Linked DNA regions of Caenorhabditis elegans. The protein of the gene in region 2 interacts with the protein of the main gene of each other region in a pairwise test. Each region holds a gene or a part of one and is shown on either strand. Other genes may lie near its edges.

The links.
Region 1: the proteins of lev-11 (region 2) and crb-1 interact in a two-hybrid assay, tested with the Caenorhabditis elegans proteins (one large-scale study listed by BioGRID).
Region 3: the proteins of lev-11 (region 2) and npp-3 interact in a two-hybrid assay, tested with the Caenorhabditis elegans proteins (one large-scale study listed by BioGRID).
Region 4: the proteins of lev-11 (region 2) and clc-1 interact in a two-hybrid assay, tested with the Caenorhabditis elegans proteins (one large-scale study listed by BioGRID).

What each region holds. Positions count from the first base shown.
Region 1 is NC_003284.9:17,409,602-17,418,070, forward strand, and holds the start of crb-1 (uncharacterized protein), read right to left. Parts: upstream 4,414-8,469; 5' UTR 4,249-4,413; coding exon 4,203-4,248; exon of another isoform or gene 4,091-4,202; intron 3,651-4,090; coding exon 3,365-3,650; intron 3,319-3,364; coding exon 3,219-3,318; intron 3,173-3,218; coding exon 3,022-3,172; intron 2,523-3,021; coding exon 2,380-2,522; intron 2,335-2,379; coding exon 2,239-2,334; intron 2,170-2,238; coding exon 1,728-2,169; intron 1,638-1,727; coding exon 1,498-1,637; intron 1,431-1,497; coding exon 1,317-1,430; intron 1,042-1,316; coding exon 860-1,041; intron 812-859; coding exon 580-811; intron 530-579; coding exon 434-529; intron 387-433; coding exon 236-386; intron 192-235; coding exon 62-191; intron 1-61.
Region 2 is NC_003279.8:14,626,848-14,635,252, forward strand, and holds the start of lev-11 (Tropomyosin isoforms a/b/d/f), read right to left. Parts: upstream 4,248-8,405; 5' UTR 4,113-4,247; coding exon 4,068-4,112; intron 3,933-4,067; coding exon 3,795-3,932; intron 3,095-3,794; coding exon 3,038-3,094; intron 206-3,037; exon of another isoform or gene 133-205; intron 1-132. Other genes in the region: exoc-8 (Exocyst component Exo84 C-terminal domain-containing protein), read right to left, coding at 7,779-7,919, 8,345-8,405. UniProt on the Caenorhabditis elegans protein: Tropomyosin, in association with the troponin complex, plays a central role in the calcium dependent regulation of muscle contraction. Involved in muscle actin filament organization and muscle arm extension and morphology.
Region 3 is NC_003280.10:11,869,719-11,877,897, forward strand, and holds the start of npp-3 (Nuclear Pore complex Protein), read right to left. Parts: upstream 5,071-8,179; 5' UTR 4,976-5,070; coding exon 4,841-4,975; intron 4,794-4,840; coding exon 4,442-4,793; intron 4,382-4,441; coding exon 4,290-4,381; intron 4,241-4,289; coding exon 4,036-4,240; intron 3,882-4,035; coding exon 2,287-3,881; intron 2,235-2,286; coding exon 2,129-2,234; intron 1,694-2,128; coding exon 1,346-1,693; intron 1,283-1,345; coding exon 978-1,282; intron 932-977; coding exon 186-931; intron 125-185; coding exon 1-124. Other genes in the region: DNA topoisomerase 2 top-2, read left to right, coding at 5,439-5,538, 5,586-5,922, 5,976-6,708, 7,054-7,296, 7,347-8,179.
Region 4 is NC_003284.9:11,043,928-11,051,490, reverse strand, and holds clc-1 (Claudin), read right to left. Parts: upstream 4,046-7,563; 5' UTR 3,882-4,045; intron 3,256-3,881; 5' UTR 3,249-3,255; coding exon 3,161-3,248; intron 3,110-3,160; coding exon 2,985-3,109; intron 2,940-2,984; coding exon 2,848-2,939; intron 2,801-2,847; coding exon 2,659-2,800; intron 2,423-2,658; coding exon 2,321-2,422; 3' UTR 2,216-2,320; downstream 1-2,215.

The DNA.
Region 1 (8,469 bases), on a different chromosome or scaffold from region 2:
CTAGGTTTTGCTCAATTAGCACAAATTGCAAAAAAAAAATTCCACATTATTGACAAATTACCTCAAATGCACAATTGAGGGCTGGTCCAAATGTCCAAAGGTCGTTTTGGGGAGGAAATATACACAATTTGGTTTCAGGTATGGAGGTTTACATTTGCAACTTGAGCTCTCCCAATGGTCAATGCAAATTCCTGAAGCTTTATTTTTGTAACTTCATCATTCAGAAAAAATTAACCTTCATTCTGACAGTATGCTCTGGTGCACTGTTCACTTCTAGTGCACCCTTTTCTAATATCAATTGCTCGTTTGTTATCTGCAAAAATTATGAGATCCCCGTCCACTCGAACATCAGCCATGCATCCTATAAAGTGATGAGTTCCAGAGATCTGTAAATCAGTTTATTGAGTAAAGAGTGTATTTCATACGCTAATACCTTTCCAAATCTGGTGAGGAACACTTCAAGCTGTCCGTTGACTGACTTTTGAACTAGACTGAACCCATTTTCAGTGGAGACTTCGATTTGGATTTTCTGTAATAAATTAAAAATATATACTCAAGTTAAAAAAAATTTAAACTTACATTATCCTCTCCCTTTACAAACACTGTATACCATTGAGCATCGCTAACTCTCATTGGCAGCAGGTGCTCCAACGAATTTCCGGTCATGTTGAACACCAAGTATCCCGACAAAAGTTGAATAGACAAAATCTTCTCTCCGAGAATGTTCTCGCTGCTCGCCAAATGGGTATTTTCCACAGTTGTGCGGAACGAAAACTCTAGTTCATAGGCAATATTTTCGAATGAAGAAGTTCTGAAATGCTTTTTTCATAAAATATATAGTTAGAGAAAAAGAAAGTACCCAAGGGAGAATTTGGAGCTCTGATGAATATACAAACTTTTCGCCGAAAATGTTGCTGACGTCACCATTTCACACTGTTGTCCAAAGTGGCCTATTTCACATCCACATTGTGCAGTGATATTCACGTTATCATTCACTTGGCTACAAGTTTGACCAGATGGACAGGATACTTTAGAGCATTTCTGAAAATAAGAATGGAATGATTTGTCTACATTTTTTACTTTTTAAAATTTTCTTAAAGTACATATATAATACCAACAATTCTGGAAAACTGTTTGAACTTACTGTCTCAAATTTAATGTAGAACAAAATCAGGGACTAATTTCTTTATGTTACAAAACATAGAAAAGACTAAAAATATAATTTTAGTTTTAGTTTTTTGAATTCAAAAGACACAATTAAATTTCGTAAAACTTCAGCATTCTTCTACACTGTTTTTCATTTAAAAAAAACCTACATCATGTTTCTGATCACATTTTTGTCCAAAATATCCATCATCACAAATGCAAACTGGCCCAGATTCGACGTCAAGACAATTGGATGAGTTGACGCAGTCTTCGCAAGATATTTTCTGAAAAATTTTAATATTGCAAGTATTTATTATGAACGAATTTTGAATAAAAAACTAAAACACTCACACTCTGAGAGAATCCGTCGATTCCAGAAGTTGTAAAAGATGGAAACGTTCCTAATGTGGGAATAGGGGTTGAAGGCTCATCCACCGTTTCGCAGTGGACGCCACCAAAGCCTGATGTGCAATGACAGAAGTATTGTCCATCTGAAAAATTGTAAAACTTTAAAGAGTATCAGTATCAGCACAAAAATTAATTTACAGCTCCCTAAAAAACTCTATTCTTTTTCTTATTACCTGCATCTTGGCAAGTTCCTCCATTTTGACAGGGATTAATTGTGCATCCAGATTTTGGCTCACAGAACGGTCCATCAAACCCTTCTTCACATACACAAAACGGTTCCCCTTCTGCGTCGAGTTTACAGCTTCCACCATTCAAACATCGAATGTCACTGCATGTTGGATGTGACCGATATGAATTACTTATTTCACAATTGGACCCATTGAATCCTTCCGGACACTGGCAGGTAGTTGCGGCTAACGCGAACACACACTTTCCCCCATTCTTACAATCCGATCCATTAACCAGACAATCAACAGGCTCTCCACAATAGATGCCGGTAAAAGAGGGAAGGCAAAAGCAGGTGAAGAGATTCTGCCCGTCGTCGACGCAGTGACCCCCATTAAGACACGGCTCACGATCGCATGGACGAGCTTGCAACTCTTTACAGTCGGCACCCTGCAATTAAACGATAGATTGCGCGAGGGACCCATATCCGAACATGCCCAGATTATTCGTCAAACGTACCATAAACCCCGAAGGACACTCGCATTGCGTTGTCCTTGACGTCCCGTTTACGAGTGAACAAACATGAGCCGGGTTTTCACATATACACTCGTTAACCTGAGAAAAAACACAAGCAATTAACAGTGAGAAAATTGGTGTTACCTCTGCTTTGAGCTCGCAGAATGCACCATCAAACCCGGGAGAGCACTTGCAGGAGAGATCGGAGCCAGTCGAAATGCATTGACCATTGTTGTGACAATAATCAGAAGTGCATTGTTTCTTGTCTTGGATTTCACAGTATTTACCTAGAAGAAATTGTGAAAACATGTTTCTTCTTAGTTTTCTTTTGTTTTTATAAAATAATTTATTCGAATGTAAACTCTCAACAAATCAGCAACGTTAACAAAATTGAGAAAATAATAAGAAAGTTGAAAACTATAAGTATTGCAAAAAAACTGGGTATTTGTCCAAATATCATAATAAAACTTTTTGAACAACCTGAAGAAATGATTTTATTTCGAGCCAAAAGGGATCAACATGACAATGCTTCAGATTTGTCGAAACGTGGCAAAAACATGTATGCGATTTTTGACTCGAGATAAAAAATCCCCGAATTGTTTAGAAAATTTTTTATGACATTTGGTCATTTAGCACCTTATAAATGATTTTTGATCAAATTCACACTAGTCTTATTGAAAAAATCTAACTAAACGTTTTTCAAACTTCAGGTTTTTTTTTCACAATTATGTCTACTGGAAAACTATATTTCATCCTTCCCATCCAAATTTTCAAACCAAAACTCACCAGAAAATCCTTTTAAACATTTGCATTCATAACTTCCTTTCAAATTTTCACAATCTGCTCCATTCTGACAAAAATTTTCTTTGCACTCGTCCTCGTCAGTTTCACAGTGATCTCCAACAAATCCAGGTGGGCAGGCACATTTTACATTTCCCTGAACATTCTATTGGTTTTTATCACTCTGGACTCAAGTCACTCACGTTCTCGGCAACACAAGTGCCGTTATTCTGACAAGTGTGTGTTGCGCAAGACGGCTCGTTGCTCTGGCAAATGTATGATCCGTCGGCTCCTTTTGTGCATCTATAAAAAACATACATGTTTTTGGTTTGCACAAGGTCATGTATACCTTTCGTCATCGCCACATTGCGGTGAGCACTTTTGAGCAGTGTCATCATCAGTAACTAGATTATCACAAAGTGAGCCCATCCATCCTTCGGAGCACTGGCAAGTTTCTTCGCCAAACGTTCCTTTCACGCAGTTACCGTGGAGACAGTGCAAAGAGCAGTTGTCCTGACATAGCAACCCACTGAAACCCTTCGGACATTCACACTGAAACATTCGCGTCTCATCGTTCACTGTGCAAGTTCCGCCGTTAAGACATGTGTTCCGACTGCACGCTCTGTTACATAGTGCTGAAAAGAGTTTTAGTGACAGCTTGTGGTATTCATCTGTCTTAATGATAATGATGGATTACTTTTTGCAAAAAGTCAGTTGGTAGTTTTGTCCAAGTTTTAGATTGGAACTGATCTTTGGAAAACAAAATTTAGAAATTTATTTTGTTTTTTGGTATGAAATATACGAGCTTCATTTAATTTTCAGAGAAAGAAGTCATGTGTTTTATTGAAAAGGTCTGGGCTTCTGAAATAATTGTTAACCGACAAATATGTTAATAGTTATTTGTTTACAATTTTAGTTGAAAATATATAAACGATTACAAAATCAAAGAAGAGATGGGCTGCAAAAATTGAGAGTTTTCAGATACAACAATGCTCAACACTTAAAAGCCCAAAATCAACTTTCTCAAACATATTTTGAATTTAAATTAGATTTTCAGTTTTTGAGATGTTCACTTAAACTTCGTGTTATACATTTCTATCTCTCATCTAGTCTAAACCAAAACTTTTCACACTCAGATCAATCAGTCTGTGAAACCGAATGACATCATATCTTAGTAGTAGACTTACCATTTGTAACCAGGGTACAAAATATGAGAAAATGTTGATATTTCATGAGTGGTAGATCATTGAATGCAGATCCCAAATAGGAGTAATGACGGCAGCTAGTCGAATTGTTTTGTGTTTGGAGGTAAAAAAGGTAGTTTGCCGCTTGACGATTGTTCTTCTGTACCGCACACGCTAGCTGCCGGAGTGACGCGAGAGAGAAAGAGAAGGTCCTAGAGAGCCAGGTGTATTGTCGGATAATAAGCAGGTAATTAGAACGGAAGAGGAAACACGGGCAAGAGAGATGAAGGGGGGGGGGGGGGGAATCTCGTGGTTGCCAGGGGTCAGCTAGCTGCCCTGTGGCATTTCGACGGTAATTTGGAAATAGTAGGGAAAGTTTCAGTTGACCGAGTGATTGAAGATATACAAAATTTTCAAACGTTTATAAAAAGTGAAAACATAGAAATTCAGCGTTTAGTTAAAAAAAAAGGTTTTCGAGAGTATTTGTACAATTTCGACATTTTTTTTGTGCTCGTTTCAGTTTGGCAGCTCATGCTTTTGATTTTACTTTTAATTGTCGTCTGATAAAATATTTCCTACTTTTTTTTATTATCATCTAGTTCCTAATGTACTTGTATGTGTTAATAAAATTAGCTGAAATATGGGGTTTTATCCCATAACAAGCGACAATATTGTTTTATTGTGATTTCAGGAGTTTTTTTATTTAAAAGAAATAAGAATGAACAAGCTTAATTATGCGTAAGTACAAATTCAAAATACTCAAAAAGTGCTGGGTCCACTTGAATTACAGCAAAAAACCCTCAGCAGCTAATTAGTTCCAAACAATTTCCGGCTGTCAACATCTCCAACATCTATATATTTTATGTGTAGTAGGTCGGATATTATACAGACAATTTTCAAATGATGAGACTAGTTTCACCCGGCACGCACACGGAAAAAAGAAGGGGATAGCAAAAAAGTGAAGCGAAAAGGACAGTGTGTTTGTCCTGTTATGCGGAAAAATGAGATTTGCTGGGGTTACCGATATCGAAATACGTTTTTAGAAAATATTTGGATGAAAATTCAAATAAAAATTTCCGAAATAAAAACGGCAAAAGCAAAAAAGTTTAGTAGTTCCGTTTAGACGGGACAAACTTTGCTGAGAAAATTGAGTAGAAATGAAGGCCAAGGCGGAGCACAGTTGACAAATGACCGCGCATTTGGAAATGGCAAACTGTCGGAATTTCATGGAAAAATACCAACAAGTGAATCAATTACATAATTTTAAAAAGTGAAATTCTCAAATGTTTCAAAGATAGTTGGGGAATTTCAAACTACCTCCCAATAATACTCAAGAGACGCAAAGTTTTTGAACTTACTTGTTATGCTATCAGTTATGTTTTTTGGAAATGTTGGAGGTCACAAACCTTAAAATTGATTCTGATATATATTTTTGATTAATCAAAAAATTACAGTTCATTGTGAACATTTTACGCTCAAAAATATGTTGCCAACATTTTCAAAATAGGGAATCTTCTCAAATAACTGAAAAGTTCAAATTTTCAATTCACGGTAACATGATGAAATAAATTTTTAAAAAACAACTTTTAAAAACAACTTTTTTTTCAATTTAATAAAAATTCAGTTGATAAACATTGAATAATTAAACTTAGTTTTTGTGTTGATATTTGTTGAAATGCTAAATTTTTAAAACCAAGAGATTATTTGGATTCAAATTTCAAATTACAAATTGATCTGACGATTTTTTGTCGTTCCTAAAAAAAATGCTAAAATTGTACTTACGGAAAACAACAATTTTGAAAAGCAAAAAAAAATTAGCAACGAAAAAAAATCACCCCTGTGGCTAGCTTCTCGGATCGCGTTCTACTTATGGTATTATCTGGGGACTTTGCATCAGAAAAAAAATACGGCGCAAAAATACGCTAGAGAAGATAAAAATGTATGTGTGCATGATACATCTCGTCGCCTAATTGTCTATCTCTAAACACCTTTTTTTTGAATATGCCGCAAATATGTAGTGGTCAGTCAGTCAATAAAAAACACGCATATAGACAAAACAAAACGATTGCGCGCGCGCGGGGTCGTAAGGTCATGGAAAAGAGCATGGTATTGATAACAGTGCACACATAACCCCAGGTCTTACAAAAAGAGTTTTTGGAAAGAATAGAATTGTGCAGCAAATGACAGAAAAGGACGGAGGGACACTTGATGGACTGCTGAGGAAAAAAAGGTGCGTGGACGACCGGAATATAGGGTGTATTAAGAGTGAAGGGACACATGTATTTGTTTCGAGGCATTTCCGGTTATGGCGAGAAGAAGGGATATGAACAAGATAATTGAAGACAAATAGTCCGTGATGATTTGTTGACTAACAGTGAGACAATTATTTTCGAATCAAGGTTTTGAATACTAATTATGTAGATCGAGCTAGAAAATTTATTAAAAAATTCTGACTATTTTTCCTGTACTAATAAAACTTCACTAAGTACCTTACGTTTTCAAACACAAAACCTTATAAAAATAACTTATTAATTTAGAACAGTTGTACGTAATAATGCAAAAACCATTACAATTATTTTACAGAGCCTTTTGCAATTTTAGGAATCTAGTAGTATACATAGTAGTTGTATCAAAAACTTAGAATTACACAATCCAGAAATAGAACTAAGCAGCAGGCCCAATCACTGCAAATGACACTTAATTACAATGTAAAAAGTATCAACAAGCAGGGGCAAAGAGTTGAGAGCAAACTAAGATTGAATACCTAAAAGAGACTCATCAACTATCGAACGATCTCCAAAAGCACAGAAACAACACTTGAGTTGGTTGGAAGGAGGGGGGATATGACTTTGTTTGGGCAAGCGCTAGGCTCTCCCCCTCACCATCTTGGGCTCCCAGAGCACACCCCATCGGAAACCGTCTGAGCCACTTAAAGAGCCACCGCAGTGTCCAGCAACTTCTTGACTTCGCGCACCAAAACGTTTTGTACTGTAGCGCGGCGGATGGGGAAGCGAGTATACAAAAGCCGGGTTTGCAAGTGGATGCTTTTCGAAAAATGGTCACTTGTTTTGAAATTGTTAGCACGTTCTCGTTTTACGCGTACCCCGCCGCCGCCAGACATGTCCTCAACAACTATTCGCAGTGTTAATTAACTACGTTTACCTTGTTGCTTGCTCTAATTTCCACAATCACGCACCCCATCTTCTTCCCTGGCCCCCTTCAAAACTTATTCAATTAGCCACCTTTTTATTTGCCCAAGTATGTGTTTTGTTAATGAATCAAAAATGAATGGAAGGTACGACCACCATGCTAAACCCAAGACCACCCACCGAGAAAATACAACTTTTGCGGAAATTCGACACCACTGTGTTGGCTCATGATTTCTCTGATTTTTCGAGTGGAGGCAGATTTTTGAGGAAAGTTCAAACGAACGTTTTACGAAAGCTCACAGGATTCATGGATAATGTTTTGAAGTTCAACGAATACTTGTTTGACTTCACATTTTAGCTATATTGTTTCACCTTTAATATTGATACAAAAATGCAGCAATAGAGCTGAAGTTTTGTAATTTAAAGCATTGAAATTGTCTCAGAATTTAAAAGAAAACAAACGTTTCAAATTAGCATGAAAAATTCATCAGGCAATGTATAAATAATCTCAGCACATTAAAACAAAAGGAATTTGACGAAATGTGTGAGGAACTTGGAATAATACTTTAAAAACAATGAAAAAATCATTGATTTTTTTTGTTGAGTACTTTACTCCAATTTTAGCTTTTACTATCAAAAATTTCATTATCAAACGGTTGTTTTTATTTATTTGGAAATTCAAACATAACTGTCCATAGTTTAGAAATCAAGATGAAACCAGAAGATCAACGGTTATCAATTGGCAAGACAAGACATATCGCAAGATTTTGAACTAAAAATAGTTTGTTTCATTTCATGACGCTTAAGATATGAAAACAGCGACACAGAAGTCAAAAACAACACGGGTACACAATTAATTGTCTTCGTGTTCATTTTCATTAAGATAACAAACATAGACGAATGCTTTTAGAAGTTCAAACAGAGTGCGGTAAAACTTCAAACGTGACCAGTGCGCAGCAGAAAAAACCTGTGAACACCGTGGCGTTTCCTAATTGAAGTGTCTAATGTCCGACCTTTCAGGAAAACAAGAACTAAACTACACATCGGCCGGGATTGAAGAGACTTTAAATAGTGGTATGTATGAGGCATAATAAGGGAGTAGCTCCTGGAGCTAGAAAAAC
Region 2 (8,405 bases):
GAGGCAGGGGGCGAAGAATATTGCAACGCAGATTGGCATCTTCTTCCCAAATACAGAGAGAGACCTTTCCTTTTCCTGTTGAGTGTTTTGACCGGAAGGGCGGTACATTGACGTGTTCTTCAACAAAAGAAGGAAATTGGAGAGAGAGAGAGAGAGAGAGAGAGAGAGAGAGAGAGAGAGAGAGAGAGAGAGAGAGAGAGAGAGAGAGAGAGAGAGAGAGAGAGAGAGAGAGAGAGAGAGAGGAAGAAAAGACGTCGAGTATTTACCCGAATTACATGTTCTATTCAAATTGTGGTAGAGATGGAGACCGGGAAACCGGCTGACTGGGGTGTATGTACCGAAGGTGTCTCTAATTGGTAGGTGGTCTTGAGCTGAATGACAGTTCAATGCCAGTTTTGTAAACTGGGAACACTGGCCGAACAAACTTGGAAATTCAGGAAAAATTGTTAGCTAGGCGGGAAAATTCCCCAAAATTTTGAACTTTTGGGCGCTCAAAAGTTGCCCTTCAAAAGCACGTCCCATTTCGGTGTGATCTACCTAGATCTACAAAAATGGCGGGGATTTAGATGCAGACTTCTCAACTGATTTTGCATGGTTAAAACGTGCTGATGTCACAAAAAATCCCGCATTTTTTGTAGATCAAACAGTATTGGGACAGCCTGACACCGAAAGTAAGAATTTTCGCATTAAGGGCCTACCCTAGAAATTTGTATCTGAGAACCAAAATCTGAGGGAAAACCCTGGGAATTGTAGAGTAGTTTCCACCGAAAACCTTACACAAAAAGAGTCAAAACTTGCGTCTACTTGCCGTGGCGAGACCTACTCGGTACTATTGTAATTTCTTTCTAAATTTCCCGCATTTTTTGTAGATCAAACAGTAATGGGACAGCCTGACACTAAAAGTAAGAAATTCCGCAATAAGCGCCTGAAAATGTCAAATAAAACCCCTAGAAATTAGTACCTAAGACCCTGCAAATTCCTTTAAAAAATTTGAAAATGCAGCGCATTTGCCTAGTTCTCGGAAGAAAATCCTAGGAATTTTAGAATTTTTACGAAAATCGTGGCGAGACCCATTAGGCACTACTGTAGTTTCTATTTTGGTGTGTGCGCTTTCATTTATTCTCATTTATTTCCATTTCAACTGACATGCCATTCACTTGCCCCTTGAAAAATGCCGAGAAGCCGATCACACAGCTCTCCTCGTTTCTTGAAATTGCGGGGGAGATGCTCTCTCTCTCTCTTTCCCGCCGCGCCGCCCGTTGATGCTCAGTGAGCCCTCGGGAGCCTATTGGCGGGGAGGAGTTGTTGTAAAGCAAACATCTCGTTGTAATCAGTTGGAAGAGAAGAAATTGAGAGAGAGAGAGAAGCTAGAGAGACTTAGAGATTAGACAATGGCGCAGGCAGGGGAAGGAAGCCCCCAACAGCACTTCATACACTCCTCGAACTTTATCTTCTTCTTCTTCTTCGCCTCTCGCTCATTTGAGCAGTAACGGAAAATGGGATTGAGCTTTTCGCAAAGAAATTGGATTTCGGCGCGCCAAGTTGTGTGCAAAAAAAACGTCGGGAGAGGGAAAAAAGTTCTCGACAAAAAAAGGTTTTTTTCCTAAAAATCACTGATATTTTTCCACTTCTACCGCTTTAAAGGAGGGCGCACTTACACGAAATGGTCCCGCCACGCATTGATTTTTGGGCCGCGTGGCGGGACCATTTCGTATAAATGCGCCCTCCTTTAAAGTTGGAGAAGTGGAAAAAAATGCACTGTAGATATTCTAGGAATCTAGATAAATTCGGTGATGCGTGGGATTCAAAATAGGCTTAACATACACTTGAAATACTCCGAAGTTGGAAATATTGAGCATTTTTTTCGAAGACTATGAAAAGTAATGCATGAAAAATCACCACGAGGAATTTGAATTCTGCTGGATTATTATATTACACGTGGTGTCAGAGTGGCTCACTTCGGTTTGATCTACATAAATGCGGGAGAAGAGACGCACAGTTCTTAACTGATTTCGCATGGCTAAGAATGTGCTGACTAAAAATTCCCACATTTTTTGTAGATCAAACTTCAATGAGACAACCTGGCACCACGTGTTAATAGATCACATTCGCTTAAAGTTACCGCCAGACTAGTGAAATTCCAAAAAAAATGCCACTGCTCTAAGCTTTAAATTTTTAGGATCAGTACTTGAAAACTAATAGCTTGTTAAGCTAGAAAATTAAATATCACATGGCACCACTTAGAATTTTCCGAAATATTGAAAAGTAGCCTTGCAAAATTTGGCTAAGGCCGGAGCTTAAGAATGTTTTAAGCCAACAAAATTTTTTCAAGAACGTATAGCAATGACTAAAGGGAATTACATAAATTGACAACACTTTTTGCTCACAATCAGTTTTCAATAAAACAGTATAATGACAACTTACAAAATTGGGAAATCTGGAAAACCGAGCTAAAAGTGATGCCAATCTGGTTTGAACATCATTACATAATGTTATATAACATGCTAACTAGATAACAGCCACACCCTGATCAAGTCTTTTTCGGGAAAGAAGGATTTCTACAGTACCCTATCTCTGACTCTCGACGGAATGAAAAAAGTGAATCATGATTGAATACAGTACAATGTATACCAAACATTTGAAGAAACAATATATATATATATATATGAACATTATTGAAAAAAGAAGACACACACACACACACAAAACAATAGCTACCCCGGTGGGGGAAGAAGCCTATGGGAAGTGAGAGAAAGAGGGTGGAAAAGAGAAAAAAACCGCGGATCATCATCAACGTCACCCTCTCTCACTCATTTTCATGCCCAAAAGGACAGGAATGGAAAACTAGCTGTATATATGTATGTATCTCTCTCTCTTCATTCCAACTACTCACTGACTAATTAACGGATTAATTGACTTTGAACATCGCGCCACAAACCTGGTCGTTGTGCTTGTGGATTGGGAATTGGAAATACCTGAAGTCGGTTTAGAAACCAAAAGCTGCCCGGATTGGGCTTTAAAAAGAAAGTCGACTCACCTCTTGAACGGTCTTCTCCTTCTCCTCGAGCTTGGAGGTGGCGGCGGAGAGGTCCTCCTGAAAAATGGAAGTTTGATTTTGAGCTTATTCTTTTAGCTTAGCTTAAGCCTAAGTGTTTCAGCTTAGGAGCATAAGCCCAGGGAGACAGGTAGACCTAGGTGGACGATGCACCATGAGCTTCGAATTTGATTTCTAGTGGTGTCCTAGGTAAATTTTAGATTCCAGGTTAAATTTTTAGGGCTAAAAGTTACAAATTGAGCACCCTGCACTATGAATTTCGAATTTTGTTTTTAGGGTGATTTTTAGTTATACTTTAAGATTTTATAGGTTACTTGAGCGCCAGTGTCTCTAAAAAATTTTGTTTTCTGAAATCGGACTGTAATCAAAATTCGCTATATATAAGGTATTGTAAAAGCTTGATTCCAAAAAATTAGGAAATTTAGAGCTCAACTTCTGCTTTTCAGAACTTTGCTCAGTTTCAGGCCAAAATCTTCCGGGATAGCGGCTTTAAGTTGAGAAAGTAGGTATTAATAATACGCTAATTATATATGGTATCAAAGTAGAAGCTAGACAATATTTTGGAACTTCTAGAAACTCCTGCGATTTTCATGAATTTTTAAGCTTCCTGGTAAAAATCTGATAGCTTAAAGTCTTATCAAACCAAGATCTAAGCGAAAATTTAGGAAGCCAGTTTATATGGGGTCTTAAAATCGATAAAATATACGCAAAGAGCCTAAATTCTGGCTTAAACCCATACCTGAGCCTTGTCCAAATCGTCTCCGGTCTGAGTCATCTTCTTCTGGGTGTCTCTGAGCTCTTCCTCGACTCTTTCGAGCTTCTCGGTGATCTGACGGACTTTCTCTTCAGCGGCATCGGCACGATCGAGAGCGTTGTCCTAGAATATGTGTATATGGTTTTGAGGAAAAATTCAAAATATTGGAATGTATATGACCACTACTAATTTTAAAATTGAAAAAGTTGAAGAAATTCACTATAAAACAGTATTAAAATTTAAAAAAAGTGTGGAAACCTTCTCGATCTTCATGGCCTGCATCTTCTTCTTAATGGCGTCCATTTTTGGTAGTTTGTTGTTGTGTTGAAACACACGGAGTATCGACGATTCAAATTGGAGGGGAGAATGATTCTTCTTCTCCCGTTAGCTTCAGGTTCCCGTCTTCACGAGACTCCTCCCACACGAGCCCCCGCTTCTTCTTCTTCTTCTTCTCTCTTCTCACTTCCTCCACAACATCAGACGGGGGTGTGGCAGATGATTAGATAGTATTGATTTCGTGGAGACCTATGCCTATGGGATCCCTGCCCACCCACCCCCCTGGAGCATATTACAGCACACACGGAGCAACGGGAATTGTGGGGAGAAGAGCAAGAGCCGATGGCAGATGGAAAAGATGATGATTGGGGAGAAGAAGGGTTTCTCGTGGAATGGAAAAAGGAACAAAACTTTAAAAAAAAACCACATAATTAGTAAGGTGGTATGGTGTTCCAGGACCGATATTCGCGTGGTCGCTTGATGACGTGGCAAAAGCCGTTCTGAGCCTCTTTACATTAAAAAATTGAAACGATTATCAATTTGATTGTTAATTACGTTATCGTACAAATAGTAACGATATTTCTTATATATCTAGACTGTTAGTAATAATAACCATAAGTGATGTAAAATCAAATTGCTGCAAAATTTTCGAAAATTTAACTCAAGATTGACTAAAACTTTAATAAATTATTAAAGTAATGGTGTCATTAAAATTAGTTACATTTTTAAGGACATCCTTAAATTTGAACATTAATGGAGTTAAAATTAAAAAATAAGTGTCTCATTTTCGAGGCCTAACAAGGCTTCAACCTTAACATTAACATTACTGGTAGCCTTTTTTAAAGCCTATTAACAAGCCTTCAAGCCTAACATAACGAAATCATATTGCCTTTCACCATACATCCAATATGAACAGATATCATAAATCTGGGCTTCCCTAGTAATATTACACTACGAAAGAGTATGCTACAAGTATGGTTTTTTTCCAGTTGAACCTTTTTTTAAGAACCTTGAAACTTTATGGAAAGGGTTGCAACACTAATGCACACGTGATATAAGATATCCTATTACTGTAACTATTCATGAATGAATTTTTAAAGAAAACTGAACAATCAAAACTGAATTTTAAAAAATATGACAAGCTCAGTTTTTACAGTGCCATGTTACATAGCTTTGTTCTCCGGAATTTGATTAGTGTCTAATTTTACAATAAGAAGTACCACATTTCATCTTTCCAATTTTCATACATTCCCATATTTTTCCATTTCTCTTTACCCACTATTAGGGCTGTACAACCGGACGTCCGGTCGTCCGAAGTTCGAACCGGACGCACATGCGTCCGGTTGGGGGTAGCTATCCACGACGGCCGACAATTTCCGAATTTCGCCACTCACTATAAAATTGCTGATTAAGTATAGTGAGTGGCGAAACTCGGAAGTTGTCGGCCGTCGTGGATAGCTACCCCCAACCGGACGCATGTGCGTCCGGTGGTGTCAAAATCGGACGACCGGACGCCGATTTGTACAGCCCTACCCACTATCCATAGAAACGCATTTACTTCCCTTAAACTTTTTTTTGTTATTGTTCTTTTTTTTTATCTCAGATTCCCAAAAGTCGGTCAATGATCAGAGTCTCAGTTTTTGAAATCCTGACATTAGAATCCAATACTACTTGTGTGTATATGCTCTTCTTCTTATCCCCGAAAAGAAGCAATTGTGGCATCCAGCCGACGACAAAACATTCGAAACAGTTGGCGTTCGAGAGTTTATTGTCAAGAGGGCAACTTGTTTGATAATATCAGTGGATTATGTGGAAGAGGTATAATAGTAGTGGTTTATTTTGAATTTAGGGTTATATTTAATGATTTTGTAGGAGAATACTTGTTAAAACTATTTATCATAGACAGTATTTCTAAATAAGTCGTGATAATTTAATGTCAACTAAGATTCGTGATCATGTATATATGCATGTATGTATGTATTACGATTATATAATGGTGATGAAAAATAGATCCATGAATAGTACCAGCTACTTGCTACACTATTTCCTATCGATTAGTCTTGCATGTAATATGACTAGGGGGACCTCGTTATATAATATCTGTTCGTATTGGATGTGTCGGAAAAGAAAAGACACTTCTTTTCTAAATTTCATTCTATCCGAATTAATGTTCAAAATGACATATTTACTATAATTATGCATTGACGGATTAGTCAATTTTCAGATAAGTTCGCAAAATTAAGTACTTCAACCCAATTTTATATCAAACGTGATTACCATAACTTCTAGTCTACATAAGGCTAGAGGAAATATTGTTACTTTTTGCACGCTATCGTAAATTGAACGTTAATGAAAATAAGTAGTGTCAGCCGAAATTTCCTGAAGACTGTGGTTTTCTGTCTGAATTTAGCATTTTTCGTATTTACTGCATTATTTCATTAAGCTTTACTACTCAGCTACGCTTTTTAAAAAAAAACTTAAAATTTTCCGGATATTTACCATAGCAAATAATCATTTCCCATTAGAGGCTATATAGCAATAACAGTTCTAATACAGTATAATATAGTATATATTCAATTTTTGTCAGGTTTAGTAATTTTTTCAATACAAATTTTTGAACATGCAATTGTTATCTAACGGTATCAAAATTTACTATAATAGTGTACACATTCCATTTTTCGATTTTCCGTTACTGAATATATTTACGGTAATACTTAAACAAAATCCTTATAATCAATTTTTATTTTAAGTCGGTGTTCCATTTCAGTATATATTCAGGTTAATAATTTAATATTTAAATAAGTCAATTTTTGCTCTATTAGACTAAAATGCCCCAAAAAGACCGAATTTCGTAATGAGAAGTTTTCAAGACGTCTCATTACAAAATCCGGTAGTTGGGGACAGTTTGCCTCCAATTTCATTACTGTAAAACAATATAACACAATATTGTTTTTGAACGGATATGGGGATTTTTGATGTTTTTAGCAATATCGAAAACAGTGTACATTTTTCTTTTTCCGGTTTTCTGTTAATGTATATTCATTCATATGCATGTGTATATATTTACGGTAGTACCTTAATAAAATTTCCAAATTTCAATATACTCGTCAAATGAGAACACCCATGTGTTCTCTCGTACATATCTTTTTCGAAAAAATGCTCATGTTTTTGTGCTTCTTCTTCTTCCTATTCCACTAGTGCACACACACACACACACACACACACACCTCATTCTCGCTAACCGACGCTTCTTCACCAATTGTTGTAATGCTCTGAAGAGCCCGTCTCCCCGGGTTTATTAGAGAATCAGAGATTGCTGGTCGGGGGGGGGGGGGGGCTCCACACAAAAATCTTCTGCGGAGGAGGAGAGTTGTGGAAAGTATATTATTTTTTGTCTCTTTTTTTCGATGTCAGCTGTTTTTTTGTGGCATTTTTCACGCGTGTTTCATTTTTTTTTGATACTGTAAATGATGATGTGGCTTATGTGGAAGCCATGACACATCATCGCTGTGTTTTGTTTTTTCAAACAAAAATGTTCATGTTTTCGGTTTTTTGGAGAATAGAACAAAAGCGAAGCGGGGAAATTAAAAATAAATATAAAAAATGGAGAAAAAAATTTTCAGACAAGAATAGAATCTATATCACAGAAAGCGGGTGCAATTATTTTTTAAAATTCGAATTTTAAAAAGTACATCAAACATGAGCAACTTCTTCATCATCCTTCTTCTCTTCATCAGATGGGTCTGCGTACGGAGCCAGGCTGGGGAATTGATCAATCAGGCGAATGAGCTCGCCTTCCTCGCCGTATAGGATTTTATCGCACACTGGGAGTACCTGGAATATATGGATATATTGAATAAGGGTCTGAAAATAATTGTGCACTACAAACTACAAAACGTTACACTTATTTCGTTCAAGTTATTCTAAAAATTGCATGTAGATCGTTCCAGTAAAGCCCAGACTACAAACTACACGAAAAAAGAGCTTAGACTAATTTTCTACGTGGAAGAGGAAAAATCAGTTTTGAAAATGTTGAAAATAATTGTTTTAAAATTCAAAATTTTCAAAATTGATGTTTAAACTGAAATTTTTGGTGTTAATACTACAAACTACAAAAAGCATGGGCACGAACTGTAAATACTTTAGGAATTTGCACAACAACTCAAGCTTATGAAAAATTTTCATATAATTTTTCCTTTTTTTTTTTTTTTAATTTTTTTCAAAATTTCCAATTCTCAAATATACATCGAAAAACCTACCATGGTTAGAATAAAAGTAGTGGAATACGCAAAAACGGCGCCGTCTCGGATGTTATCAGCC
Region 3 (8,179 bases), on a different chromosome or scaffold from region 2:
AGCCAACTTGGTGAGTGTCAGTACGAGTCGGTGGAACGTCTGACAGGCTGTCACCAAGGAGCTTCCTCCAACTCCTGATGCCATTTCGATAAGCACATAGCAGGCATCGCGGAATATGACAATTCTGAAAATTTATGGCTCGTGAGGTTCAGAAATTAAGAAAAAATAATATTTGTAATGCTTACTGCATTTTGTTGGAGAAAAAGTTGACGGGGGCGAAAACGGAGAAGACGTTGAGTAGCGCAGTACATCCAGACACAATTCGCTCACTGGCGCTTTCCGATAAGAGACTTGCGTTAATTTCAGCACAATATTCAAGGACTCCTTCCATCTCTTTTTGTACATATTTCATCTCGCCTGATTCCGTATAGACTGTCTCAATCTCTCGTCGTAATAGTCGGTTCAAGTAGAGAACGTCATATTGTGCAACGCCGTAGATGTTCACTGTAAGGCATGCGTCAAAGAGTTCGTGAAGTTTTGCCACATCGAAATGCACGAGATTCGGGTAAAGTAACTCGTTCTTTCGTGGCACTGTGGCTCGTCGGATCAACGAGAATAGCAAATTCGCCTTGTCATTGCTTCCGGAAGCTACTGGAGCCATATCTTCATCATCGTCGTCTTCTTCCATTTGAGTATATTCAGCAACAAGAGATGATGATTCCAAGAGTGCACGATAAAGCTTCTCAGGTCGAGAAAAGTGGCCAGTAGTGAGCATTGCCGAAATTTCGACGGCGGCGAAGTGAAGAATGTAACCAACAATCATACGACGAACAGCGAATACACCTTGAGCATATGTATTGTCGCGGGCACTTTCCAGAGTGAGAGCCGAACAGATGAATGGAGATGTTGTCAATTTCTCGATAATATTTGAAGATCGCATGAAGCAGAGCACTGGTTTAGAGAATGGGCACGTGATCGAGACAAGTCTTTGCTGAAATAATTTTATAATTTTTTATTGAATACATTTAGAAACAGACCATCAGCCGGAATGCAGGCTCTAGTAGCGCTGAGAAAGGTAAATCGAATGGTTTCTTCGACATCACAAATTGCTCGATAATATACAGAACATAGTGAAGACCGGTGAGCACGTCGTCCGCTTGATACAGCTCCTTGGTATGGGCTTTTGATGGTCGGAATGCGAGAAGGTAGTAGCAAATATTGTTGGTATCAGTCAGACGATTTCCGGTTCTTGTTACTTGGCAATCGATGGCGTCCGAAAGAGTTTCGATGAGAATTCGAGCGGTTTCTCCTCTCGCGAAATGTGGATTATCTGTGTCTTCTTCTGAAATATAGATAATAATTTAAAATTCAAGATTATTTATATATATTATTTAAAATTTCAAACCTTTCGCCAATGAATCATCAATCGTATACTGAATCGACGTAGCGCAGATCGCCGCTCGAACCGCCCGAACATGAGATGCAGCCGAGTTTCTGGATCTTAACAACTCGAGCATCTTCACCTCGGCAGCTCCACGTGTAGCCATCACGTCTCGAAGAATTCTGGCAGCGTAGAGAGAGTGTACCGGGTAGTCATCAGTCATATGAAGGTAATGGAAGACGAGATCAAGAGGTGTGCAAGCGGAGGCTGAGATGATTGGTGAGAAGACGAGGGATGGAATGGAAGCGATCATAATATCACTGGATGAGACACGGGCACACGCACGAAGAGCCGGATGCAGAATTATTGCTCCTGGAAAAAAAATAATTAGGCCTGAATATTATTACATGTAATGTTACAGCATTTGAAGACGGTGTACAGGCTAAAAATGCCAAAATTTAGGGAAACATTCGATAATTCTAGCTAAAATCTTCAGTTTTGACTTATTTTCCGTGCTGCAGGAATCGAAAACAGACATTTACTCGATTATTGTCTTATTTTTACGCACTTGATGCGTTTTACTCACGCTTTTAGTTGATTTAAAGCTTCAAATCAACGAGAAAGTGTAAGATAAACGGCAAAAATAAGCAAAATAGAACACTCATTGAATAAAAATAAGTATCAAAATTGTGGATTTTAGCTGAAATTACGCCATTTTTCAACATTTTGAATCGCAATAAAAAAATTTCGAGCCATTTTTTTAAAGTTCCATCATGAAATTCGATATATTTGAGGCCTGAAACTCACGTGATAAAATTCGCAGTGCAATCAAAGCTGCATCGGATGATGGAGACTGCCGTGTGACGTACGGATCATTGTGAGCTTGACAATCCTCCATAATAACCCGCGTGATCTGAAATTCGATTTTTTTTTTTAAATAAAATTCAATAAATTCTGTGACTTACAGCTCTGTACATCGGCGTATCATTGAGGCACTGCGTCAAAATGGCAATATGAACTTCGTTCGATGCCACGGCTCTCGGCTCGACGATTCCGTGCTCGAGAAGTGCGTTGGTGGCTCGGAGCGACCACTCGGCGAGCTCCCACATTTGAACAACGCTATTATAGCTGCGTGTGGAGAAATGTGCCAAAATACTTCTGGTGACGAATTGGATGAATGGTGTAGCGTATTCCGGTAGAGATCTGTGCATCAGAAGGGTCGTCATCAATTTCACAAAAGCTAACGACACATCATATTGCTTCGCGACACATTCTCGTTCCTCGAGCTCCTGCTGGATTCCCATTAGTGTTCCACCATCCGAAGAATAGCACAATTGATTCAGATGAATTGCTTGCCAAATTCTCGGTGCGGATCCTTTGAGCCGTGCCACTGCCGTCAGCAAATCAAGCATCGATGCTTTCATAGATAGCGGTACTGGAGAAGTGGAGAGCGATGCGACAACAGAACACAACGTCCATGAAGGATCATCCGAGAATCGCATAGCGGCTCGTTCATTCAATTGAGCAACTTTTGTAGCCATATGGATCCAGGCTACTAGTCCGCTGAGCTCTTGAGCTGGGATGGTGATTTTGTCGCCTGGACGAAGTGTGAGATTGAGGCTTTGTTGTTGGTGGAAGCTGGTGCTCATACTCATTGTCTGACTTTGATTGTGACGAGAATTCGACGCATACTTCTGCTCCCGGTACAAACGATCGTAGCCTTTGAGTGCTGAAGCCAGAGATTCCCATCCATATGAATCTGGTCCACAATGTTCTTTGGAGAAGATGTCATAAAGTAGAGCAGCTGTGTTCTCATTTTTGCATACAGCAGCGCACATTTCCAGATAAGCAACTGAATGAACAACATGATGGTTTGGAAGACGAGCACGTTCCAGGAGCCGGCAGAGCTCAATCGATCTCTCCGTACTAAAAGCCATGCTGTTCTCTTCGATTTGCTCCTGAAGCTCTCGTTCGCGTGCTGTTCTCGCATTCTTCTGATGTGCATAGTCGGTCACTTGCATCTCGTATAAATCCACAAAGCATCGAAGGAAGTTCTCATATTGTGATAGAGCCGAATCATAGTTGTTCGATGGATCTGTAGAGCTCAGTTGAGCTGTAACTTTGTCCGTTATGTGGACTGTTTGGCTTTTCGGATCCGGTTTTTGAGTCGTTGATTGTTCCTTTTTCTGATCATCCAGGAAGTTCAGCTCGTCTGTAGAATTTCTTTCAGTCTCCATAAGCTTCGCGGGGAAATATGAAATCAGCTGTTTCAGAAGCTCATCAATAATCATAAACTGATGGGCATAACGGAAGTGTTCCGACTTGATGATCGCTTGTCGCAAGTAATGAAAAGCCATATTCCGGATAGATCGATCGATGACTCTTTCCACGTCCACCTTGATATTCTCGATCCCTAGATGATCTGATGGCGATGAGGCAATCGATTTCAGAGCAACAGCGCATGCTAGCTGTAGAGTTCCGCACATTGCTTGATCCGACCAGTCTGTTTCATTCCGAATGTGGGCGATCATGTTTGTGAGCACTTGTTGAGCATCGTGAACTGTAAACTCTCAAACAGATTTGTAACTGGATTTTTGGGTATAGGCATGAAGATGGAGTAGCGAGAATTGCTTTAGAAAATCGAAAATATTCTCGAATACAGAAAAACCACAAAAGAAAAACAGAAAAATCGCTACTCCATCTTCAAATATTACCTTGAGACAACACTTCACTCGATGTGATTTTAACGAGAGAAATCCAGGCTGTCAAGCTACTACAACTGAGCTTCTCCGGTGGAACTGCCTTTACAATTTGGAATAAATGATTTGAAATCGAAACTGCGTTTCCTCCCGGAATCTCACAGATCATCGAAATGCAACCAATTACTTCACTTCGAATCTCCTCAATGGCATTTCTGACCTGAAATTAATTTTATGAAAGAATTCCAAAATTATAATCAATTCGGTACCAATTTCTGATGTTTAGAGCCTCCTAAACCGTTGACATCTGGAGATTGAAGTCGTGCAAATTCTGATTGAACGGTGAAATTGATTAGTTGTTCTGAAAATTGGAAAAAAAAATTAGTAATATTTATGATAATATAATTTTTTGAAAACCCACGAAAAAGGTTTTTGATCACGTCCTCGTTGATGAATGTGCTATTGAGGAACTTGCTGATACGTTGAGGAATATCCTCTCGGTCCCATTTTAGCATTTGGCGCATTGTTGCGATTAGGAGCCTGTGCGCATCATAGTAGCAAACGACAGCGATTAATCCTCTGTTGAGGCCTTCGAAATGTATTTTTTGAGCTTCTCCGGCCAAAATCAAATCCACAGCTTCCAGCTCATTTAATTGAAAGATATCCGACAAAATGAGTGCTTCCGAACAGATTTCCTCGTCTAGCGCAACTTCCACTCCTGCCATTTCCACATTTCCTGGCTTCAGCTTTTCCCGATCTTTACCCGTTCGTCTCTTCAATTAGAAAGGTTTATTACACTAACATCAGTCGGAAAACATACCGGATTCAAAAGAATATTGCTCAATCGCCATCTGTATTTCTCGATTTCGTTGAACAGCTCGTTTATTTTTCGGTCGTCATCGAAAGCTGTGAAGGAGACGATGAGTTCGTAAAATTTACGAATCTCAATCCACATTTTGAGCTCTCTAAAATAAATAAAACATTATTTAGAACAAAAAGTTACTTTTTTTGAATTTTTTCGCAAAAAAATTACACAACTTCTATCTCGCAATGCATTTCCGTAAGAGACGCAGACACAAAAACTAAATTTCGTATTTCGAGGCTACAACTACGGTAACACTCGTTTCAGCTGTGTATTTTTCGCGCGTTCGCTGCGAGACCCGACGCTCTTAGGCCGCCAATTTCGAATCGGACGCTCATTTTGGCGCGCTCAGTTGTTTTTTTGTGCGCTCTCTAGCCGGCTGTCTTGCATCGATTCAGTGTTCAGTGTCCAGTGATGTCCACTGGTGTGCTAGTTCTTTTTCTCTTCACTCATTTTTCTTCGCATCCTCAAGTTTATTGAATATTCACCGCGTTTCTTTCTCTCTTTCTCCCGATCGTCCTAAAATTAAATGTCATCTTTTTCCAGATCTCTAACAATGAGCGACTCTGATAGTGAATTCTCTATCGAAGATTCACCCAAGAAGAAAACCGCACCAAAGAAGGAGAAGGCGTCACCGAAGAAAAAGAAAGATGATGGTTGGTTAATTTGTAGAGTTTCTTGAATCTAATTTGCTTCTTTTCAGCCAACGAGTCGATGGTTATGACTGAAGAGGACCGCAATGTGTTCACGTCGATCGACAAAAAAGGTGGTGGCTCGAAACAAATGGCGATCGAGGATATCTACCAAAAGAAGTCCCAACTCGAGCACATTCTTCTTCGCCCGGACACCTACATCGGTTCGGTCGAGCATACCGAGAAGACGCCGATGTGGGTCTACAACATGGAGGAGAGCAAGCTGGAGCAGCGTGACATCTCATACGTGCCGGGACTCTACAAGATTTATGATGAAATTCTTGTGAATGCCGCTGACAACAAACAGAGAGATCCGAAGATGAACACAATCAAGATCACCATCAATAAGTAAGTTTAGACCGTAGCATAAAGGAATTTAATTTAATTTTGCTTTCTTTCAGGGAGAAAAATGAGATCTCTGTCTACAACAATGGCAAAGGAATCCCAGTCACTCAGCACAAAGTGGAGAAAGTCTACGTCCCAGAGCTGATTTTTGGAACTCTTCTAACATCTTCTAACTACAATGACGATGAGAAGAAAGTGACGGGAGGACGCAACGGATATGGAGCAAAGCTTTGCAACATCTTCTCCACAAAATTCACTCTGGAGACGTCTTCACGGGATTACAAAAGTGCATTCAAGCAAACGTGGATCAAAAACATGACGCGTGATGAGGAGCCGAAGATTGTTAAGAGCACCGACGAAGACTTCACGAAGATCACATTCTCGCCGGATCTGGCAAAGTTCAAGATGAAGGAGCTGGACGATGACATCTGCCATTTGATGGCTCGGCGTGCGTATGATGTGGCTGGATCCAGTAAAGGAGTCGCCGTGTTCCTCAATGGAAAACGAATTCCAATCAAAGGATTCGAGGACTACGTCCAAATGTACACTTCGCAGTTCAACAATGAAGGAGAACCCCTCAAGATCGCATACGAGCAAGTTGGAGATCGTTGGCAAGTCGCCTTGGCTCTTTCGGAAAAAGGCTTCCAACAAGTGTCATTTGTCAACAGTATTGCTACCACAAAAGGAGGACGGCACGTGGACTACGTGGCTGATCAGATGGTCGCCAAGTTCATCGACTCGATCAAGCGGAAGCTCACAAAGACGTCGATGAATATCAAGCCATTCCAGGTAAATTTCGTCGAATTTAAAATATTTACCGCCAATGATGACTCAAAATAGCTATATGAACTCTTTGGTGACTCGATAATAAGAGAAATCTGAAAATTTTCAAGGTTTTTCTAGAGATTTCACCGATTCTTTTGAAGTATCGGTGCACCAAGTGAAAAATAAAATTGCGACGCTTTAGTGACGCTGGAGAAAGTTTTTATCCAGTGTCTAAAGGCGCGGCGCAACATTTTTAAACTTTCCGATGATTTGTGATTACTAAAAGGCGAATCTGAGGCGAGGAATTGCTAATGCGAATTCAAATCTAATAAATTTTCCAAATATTCAATTTTATATCAAAATTTTCAGATCAAAAATCACATGTGGGTTTTTGTGAATTGCTTGATCGAAAATCCGACATTCGACTCCCAGACGAAAGAGACTATGACCCTGCAGCAGAAGCAGTTCGGATCGACCTGCGTCCTCAGCGAGAAGTTCTCCAAAGCGGCTTCAAGTGTTGGAATCACCGATGCTGTTATGAGTTGGGTTCGCTTCAAACAAATGGACGACCTCAACAAAAAGTGCTCCAAGACGAAGACTTCCAAGCTGAAGGTAACAATTCATCTAATTCGTGGCCTTGTTTTAATTAATATTTATTTCAGGGCATTCCAAAGCTTGAAGATGCCAACGACGCTGGAACCAAAAATTCCCAACAATGCACATTAATTCTGACGGAGGGAGACTCGGCCAAAACGCTTGCTGTTTCGGGACTTTCAGTCGTTGGACGCGACAAATATGGAGTATTCCCACTTCGAGGAAAATTGCTAAATGTCCGAGAAGGAAATATGAAACAAATCGCCGATAATGCTGAGGTCAATGCCATGATCAAAATTCTGGGACTCCAATACAAGAAGAAGTACGAGACAGAAGATGACTTCAAGACTCTTCGATACGGTAAACTGATGGTCATGGCTGATCAGGATCAAGACGGTTCACACATCAAAGGACTCGTGATCAATTTCATCCATCACTTCTGGCCTTCTCTCATTCAGCGGAACTTCGTAGAAGAATTCATCACTCCAATTGTCAAAGCCACCAAAGGAAAAGAAGAAGTTTCCTTCTATTCGCTCCCAGAATATTCTGAGTGGAGAATGAATACGGATAACTGGAAGTCGTACAAGATCAAGTACTACAAGGGATTGGGTACATCGACTTCTAAGGAAGCTAAGGAATACTTCTTGGACATGGTTCGTCATCGTATCCGCTTCAAGTACAATGGAGCTGATGATGATAACGCTGTCGACATGGCTTTCTCGAAGAAGAAGATTGAAGAGAGAAAAGACTGGCTCTCGAAGTGGATGCGGGAGAAGAAGGACCGAAAGCAGCAGGGACTTGCTGAAGAATATCTCTACAACAAGGACACTCGATTCGTCACCTTCAAAGATTTCGTCAATCGTGAATTGGTCCTCTTCTCGAATCTCGACAACGAGCGTTC
Region 4 (7,563 bases), on a different chromosome or scaffold from region 2:
GCCCAAAAAATATTAACTTGGATCAGAAGCTGTCTAAACTTGGGCAAAAGTTAAGCAAAACTTTGGCAAAATTTGGATTCAAGCTTTACCAAAGTCTAACCTAAGTTTCACCCAACTCTTGCCAATTTTTGGCCCAAGTTTGAAACGAAATAAGAAACGTTTGGGCCAAAGTTTGGCAAGAGTTGGGTGAAACTTGGGTCAGACTTTGGTAATGCTTGAATCCAAGTTTTGCCAAAGTTTTGCCTAACTTTTGGCCAAGTTTAGACAGCTTCTGATCCAAGTTAATATTTTTTGGGCTAAACTTGGGCAAGAAGCTAGAGCCAAATGCCGAGAAGTTTTAAAAACATTTTTTTATGGAAAACGCCAGTGTGAATAATATTTCGAATAACTCATTGAAAATAAGGAAATTTATTGAAAAAAGTTTTCAAAAAATGTAGCTCTAGTCATTGTGATATTTATGCAGATTAATCCTAATTATATCCTAATTTAAGTAGTCGACCAAACAAAACATTTCTGCGAGATTCATATTTTAATCATGTTTTTATGATTTATAAATAAACGAATGAAACGTTTCTCCGAATGCTTTATGTGGAATTGTTGGAGATTTTTTGCTGTTCTGTATTTAAATACAAAAATTTATTAGGTTCCCGAAGTATTGAGTTTAATTAGAAAATCTGAATTTTAAGACATATGTGTGACAGCACTTTTTTAGATGTAATATAACCTATTATCAATTGTCATATTTACTTATTTTTCATAAATTTAATAATTGATATCTGACTTTAAATGATTTTTTTTTCAGAATGATTCTCCGGGGAATTGCCCTCTCCCTGAGAAGCCCTTATCCCCGAGGGTCCCCATCCCCGAGGGACCCCCATTCCCTAGGGGCCCGCATCCCCAAAAGGCCCGCATCCCAGACTGGTCTTCATCCCCGAGAGGTCCTTATCCGAGAGGAGCCGATCCCCGAGGGGCCCCCAACCCCGAGGAACCCCATCCCTGAGAGGCTGCCGTCGCTGATGAGCCTCTCATCCGTGGGACACCCATCCCCGAGGGGCCCTCATCCTCGAGGGGCCATCATCTCCGAAGGAGATTTTAAAAAAGATACTTCCGATCTTTGAAACGTTTTCTAACAAAATCCAAACTGGCGCTTGTTCATCTTTAACCCATCCGCCTTCAAATTCATATCTAGATCGCAATAACCTATAATATACAGTACTGGCCAATATTCTATTCACTTTTGATTTTCCAGTTTTTTTAACTTTCCAATGTATATAACTCAAAAACTTAGGATTTCTCCAGGAGAAATACCTATGTATGTCTAGATTATTTGTAGCAATTTCTCTACAAAAAAATCTGGGTGCCAGTCATCTTGCAGGTCCACTTCAGTAAATTTTTCTTAGAACCGCAACCACTCAAAAATCGGTTTTTAAAAATTTAGTAAATTATTATCTGAATTTAATTATATATATTTTTGCAGAAGCTGTTTCATGTTTTCATAATTATTTTTCGTTGAACTCTTAATGTATCAATTAAAGTCTTGTTCATGAAAAAGTGAATTCAGTGATTGTAATAAAAACTATTAATTTGACACAAATTTTTAAATATGTTTATTTTAAAAAAATAGTGCAAAATAAAATAAAAACACATTTTTAATAAGCGGAATATGTATATTGTATATAGTCATATATTGAATTGTCAGTCAGTTGCTTTCACAGAAAAAACAACTTTTTAGAATTCATGTCACTATCTAAAGATTTTCACCAATCTTTACTTCTATCAAAATGTTTACAATGACTCACTTTTTCAACCTTTGTTGCACAATACATCTTTCAATTTTTGCTCAAACACTTGGCATTGTTACATTTCATCTAACATATTATGTTCCGAGTTCAACTAATGATCTTTCTCGCTGCGCGCGTTTTTCAAATTCTTAAGAAACTGTGAAATAATTGACTATGTTCTTTGACCGAGCCTCAGTAGTGATGCCTCCCACGCCGCAAACTTGGGAGCAACAAGTCGAAAAAAATCGACAAAAATTGCTCCTGATCTTCGTGACACGTCAGTGTGTCACTAAGAACAGACATATTCACATGTCTTACCACAGTTCAAAAGACCTTTTACAAACACAAAACCGTTACATTTTTTGCCGTCCCCATCTTGCCAGTCTTGTTTGCACTTTTTCAGTGTAGTTCGGCGTTAAATGCGAAAAACCAAGTTCAAAATCTTACAAAGCTTTAACAAATAGATTGGTGCCGACGTCTGGGCTGAGCAGTTTATATCACAGAAAATGCAGGGAAATAATAAATATAATCAAGTTTAATTAACAGCAGTGTTCCCCAAGACACACTGTTAGTGCTCCCAAAATGACATCCGCCGCAGATAAGATGAGGGCTCCAACTGCAAGCCAAAACGAGTATCCAAGCTGAAAAATTAAGTTGTGAGTTTGTACAAACAAAGGTTTATGAGCAGCTTTTGCGCCTTAGGGTATGTGCAGATTGGCCAAAAAGTTGTTCAATGTGAGATAGGGAGGGTTTCTCAAAGCTTTATAATCGGGTTTTAAAGGGTTAGAACATGTGTAAAAAAAGAGTTTTAGTGAAGTTTAATAGTTTCAATCAAATAATTTTACACTTTTTCCCACATTAAGAATAGCATTCTCACCTGCGAGTTTGTATTAATTCCATTTGTAAATTGATTCCATTCAGCTGCATAAACAATAACAGCGATGAGCAGAAGAATAGTAGAGATGACTGCAAAGAGGGTGAGTGGATGGATGATATATTTCTTGCAGCAGCAGGCAAGGCTGAAAGTTGTTTGAATTATATTAATGTCGGCTTTCGCTAATCTAACCATGTCAAAAAGTTGTAGACAACTGCAAAAATTTGGACAATCAAAGAGAGGATCATGCAGACGACGACACATTTCATCCATCCTGGAAGATTCTGAAAACAGTATTTTTGAGCATATAAATAATTTCATCAACATACCGCCCACCAATCCTGACACTGGGTTCCCTGAGAGTGACCAATACATGACCAAGGCATCAAGCCATTCCATTCAGATGTGTTGATATGAGTTATATCTTTCACATTATTTTCAACAGTATTCCAACCTGAGAGTTTGAAAATTCACTTTTTCTAACATCTCCAAAGATGAAACATACTTGGCGTAAACAAAGCAACTGCTGTTAAAATAGCACTACCAGCCATAATAAGTCCATAGAGAATTTGGGTGAGTCCGGAAAGACACATTGTGAACCTGAAACATATGGTTTTAATTTTAATATTTTTTTCAGAAGATTGACGGACAAAAAGTATTAAAAAAGTATGAAAACAATTTCTCCTAAATATGGAAATTTCTATTGACGACAGACAAACACATGGTGGCATCTATGCAACCACCTAGTTACGGAATGAGAATGCACTTCAATGTAAGAATGACGACAGCACAAAATACTAAAATAGCCTGCACATTTGACAACTATACATCTTAACCAAAATATGAAAATGATGAAATAAATGCTCAAAGTGGGCAGAAACAGTGTTTTTCTTATCGCCATTGCCAACTGGGCTGTAAAAGTTTGGGAGGGACACAGGAAGAAGTGATAAAACTAGATGCAAAAAGTCAAAACGGATTTTTTTAATTTTTGAATAGATTTTAGATACTCGGAGAGTGAAAAATAAAACAACAAACGTCGTTTGAAGCATTCAAAATATTTTCACAAAACCTGATGTATCAAGTTACATTACTAAAGGACCAATTTTGGAAGAAAATTTCACAACCCGAACTAGTTTTCAAGAAATAAGGAATGGCAACGTGCTATGTCACACAAACTGGAATGAAAAAAATGCTTCATAGATAAGATTGAACACTCAAATATTTACCTTAAATGTCGATGGGACGGCGTGAACTTGATAGAAAATATGAAAAATGTGTGTTATATACAAGAGTTAGGCTAGTTTTAAAGTAAAGAGGTGGAGAGAAATAAAGCGTTTGCTTGCTCGTATCAGTAGAACTCCTCGACACGTCATGTAACCGTTTTCGGTATGATTCAGTCAAGAGATAGACCAAAAAATAAAGTGTTGATAAGAAACTCAAGTTGGGCGTTGTAGAATTTTGAAAGTTGACATAGAGCCATTTCTTAATTTCTGTTAAAATTCTTTGTGAGTCAGCGAGTTTTGAGCAGATGGAAACGGTGATTAGTTCGTATAATCGTTATCAACTTACAGTCAGATGCTCAAATATTTCGACGAATTTTCCTATCATTTCAGCCAGTATCTTTCGTAGTTTTACAAAAGTGGAGTTTACGGTGAATCACGTATATGCGAACACAAAAGTGACGTGTTTTCATTTTTCAAAAACTTTTGTTTAGTAAGCTTCACTCAAAATGTTTTGAAACAAGCTTCAAACTTTCAAATGATTTTTTTGTGAATATTTAAAAAAAAAACTGATTTATTGGCAAGAAACAGGTGGTTTCAGCTAACTTTCTTTTTACGTCTGGAAATATAAAAAATTCGAAAACATTTTTATTTCGTGGAAATAATAATAACTTTAAATTGTTGGTTTTTTTTTGGTAAAGATTGGAAAATCAAAGCTAATTAATTTTCCAATCAGATCGTTAGCAAATTGTTCAAGATTTTTATCATACATGCCTGAACAATAATATTTACTAGAAGGTTATTTGATGTTTTAAATAACCAAAACAATAATGATAAACGGAATTTATGACTTGACATTTTTCAAAGTGTATCAGGTATGTGAAATAACCGAACCTTTAAAGGTGGAGTAGCACCAGTGGGGATTTCGTCTAAATGCACTTATAATGATCTAAAACAACCGAATATCATAAGAAAAAACTCCAACAAATTTTAGATGTTTTCTAGTTTCCGGTCAAAGTTTTGGCAAGTTGTCAAAATTTTGAAAAAAATGTGAGTTTTGAGGAAATCCATAACTATGTCGAATGTTCCGACTACTACAATATTCTATTACAAATAGTTAAAACAAAGTTACAGTATGATAAAAAATGTAGGAACAAACTTTTTTTGGTCGACTTCCGAAATTAGTTGCAAAAACTGAGTAATTTTCACATTTTGACAGTAAACAAAAAAAAAGTTTTCAAAAAAATTTTGAAACATTTTATTATGCTATTCGGTCATTTTGGAACCATAGGAATAGTTTTTCACTCTTTCCCTACTAGCGCTACTCCACCTTTAGGTTTTTTTGAGTTTGAAGACTACCAATGTCAATCTATAATACAAAAGAAGAATGTTGTCTATTTCAGCATGTTGCAAAAAACGTATGAAACTTGGAACATCGAGAATGCTCACGACACGGGTTCACGACGGGTTCACGACACTAATTGTGGATTTGTTTGTTTTGATGGACTTGAAATAAAACCAAAAAATTGAATTTCACAGTGAAAATTTCTGTAGTTATCAAAAAAACGCTGAAAACTGGACCAAATTATTTTAAAAAATTATAAAAATAAGCAATAGAAGCAACTTGGCAAAAATTAAAGGTTTAGCATAGCTTGGTTTCTCTCGAACGTTCCAATTTCCATAAATCCCTACTGAAAGAGTTTTGCTAATTCAAATTACGAAAATATCATATGTAGTAGATCTGTTCGATTTGGGTTTCCATTAATACAAAGTTCTCAAATTGCTAACTAAAAATGAGTAGGAATGAAAGTAAACAGAGAAACAGTTTCTTGGAACATATCCTCAAAAAACTTAATTTGAACAATTGAAGTAGTATTGCAAATATTTTATAAGATCTGAAAGTTTACAAACAACAGTTGATTGAAAAAAACAAGTGATTAGTACTTTTCAAAAAACATCTGACTCATTCTAGCATCAAATCAATGCAGAGCGTTTGTTTATTTAAGATACTATTTACATTCTCATCATTTTTATTTCTTGCTTTTGTTGAAACATCCTGTTTAATTTAGTAGAGGTTTCTACTTTCTCTGGTATTTTTAAACTTGGATATGATGTGTTATTATCCAAATGTTCTTCGAAACGTGTGAAAATGTTAAAAATACATACTGAAAATGTAATCAACGGAACTACTTGCTCGAACGGCATCCGATTGAAATCTGCGGCCGTTGGGAAAATGAAAAATAAATGCTGGAAAAGAAAAGAAGATATGAAGAAACAGCGTGAAGGAGTGTATTTGACATATGCAAATACGTAACGGCAATGAACTTTAGCCGTGTAGCGCTGACAGTATTAACTCTTCTTCTTGTCACCTTTCAATCAAAGTTTATATATTTTCTTTTCAGAAAAGTTGTTTGATAATATGTTGTCTTTTGTGTTTCATTTTCTATGTGAGAACGCATCTTTTTGTTATGCTATGACGTAGAATCATACTTGAATAACTGACAAAGAAGCTATGAAAAGGTGTTCGTATATACAAAAGGATTTTCAACTTGAGATCTGAAAAGTAAAGTGTTTTTTTTTAACTCGATGAATTCAAAAGATACTGTATATACATAGAACAACCAATGAAACAGCTTATGAGTTAGTAGACAATAAACGTTTTCAGTTTCTCTGAACTTTCCAAAAAAAATTTCCGGAATTTTTTACAAGAAATAAGCGTGTCAAACCTACTGAATACCATCCTGGGAAATACATCATAAAAATTGATGAGATTGTTTGCAAGCAAAACTAAATTCTGTAATTCTACAGAAAATGCACTTGAAAAAAACTAGGATGCCCATTTTTTCAGTGCATATTTGAATAATTTTTCACAAGTTAACAACAAAAATATGTATATTAAATGCAAATTTATCGTAAAAAACTGATCAAAATCATCTGCGTCAATGCTGAAAAAACCGAGAAATTTTAAGATACAATTGGAAATTGATATTCTGAAAAATAATCAAATGCATAATAAGGTAGAACTATTCAAACTCTACAAGTGAAATATAACAATTTATTAAATGGAGAAATTCTTAGGAATTGTCTTTTCCAAATAAATTAGGGGGTTTCATACAACCTTTTTGATACAGTTCAGTTGTTACAAAACATTCTAGTTGTTTTTCTGGCATATGTATGTCTCATGCACAGTATTTCGGCGAACTCAAACTTGGATTTTTTTCGTATTTCAAACAAATTTTTAAAGATTTTTGAATACTTCTCAATACCTTAGTGTAATTGTTTTGGAGTTTCAGAAAGGTGCACCTATCTTCTTGTTGCAATGGTTTAAAAAGTTGCTTCAAAAAAAAAAAAAAGTGCAACTGCGTGCCCTCATAATTGTGTTTGCGAATCAGTGCGCAAAAATCTATCAGAGCCATGTGACCGACTTCTTTTAAGTTCAGTTCATTTTGTTTTGAACATCATGTTGGAATGACTTTCTGCTCTAGAAATATCATTTTCATTCCTTCACCAGGGCTCTCCGATTTCTCATCCATTTTTTGAAATTTGAAGCGAAGATTTTGAACCGCCTCCGTCATTTTCAACGCCTTCGTCTTCCGCTTGTTTCTCATTTCCTTTCTCAGACGGAGTTCGTAAATAATTTAAACATTTCTCAGGTTTTTTTTTCAGTTAACTCATTGTTAAACTATTC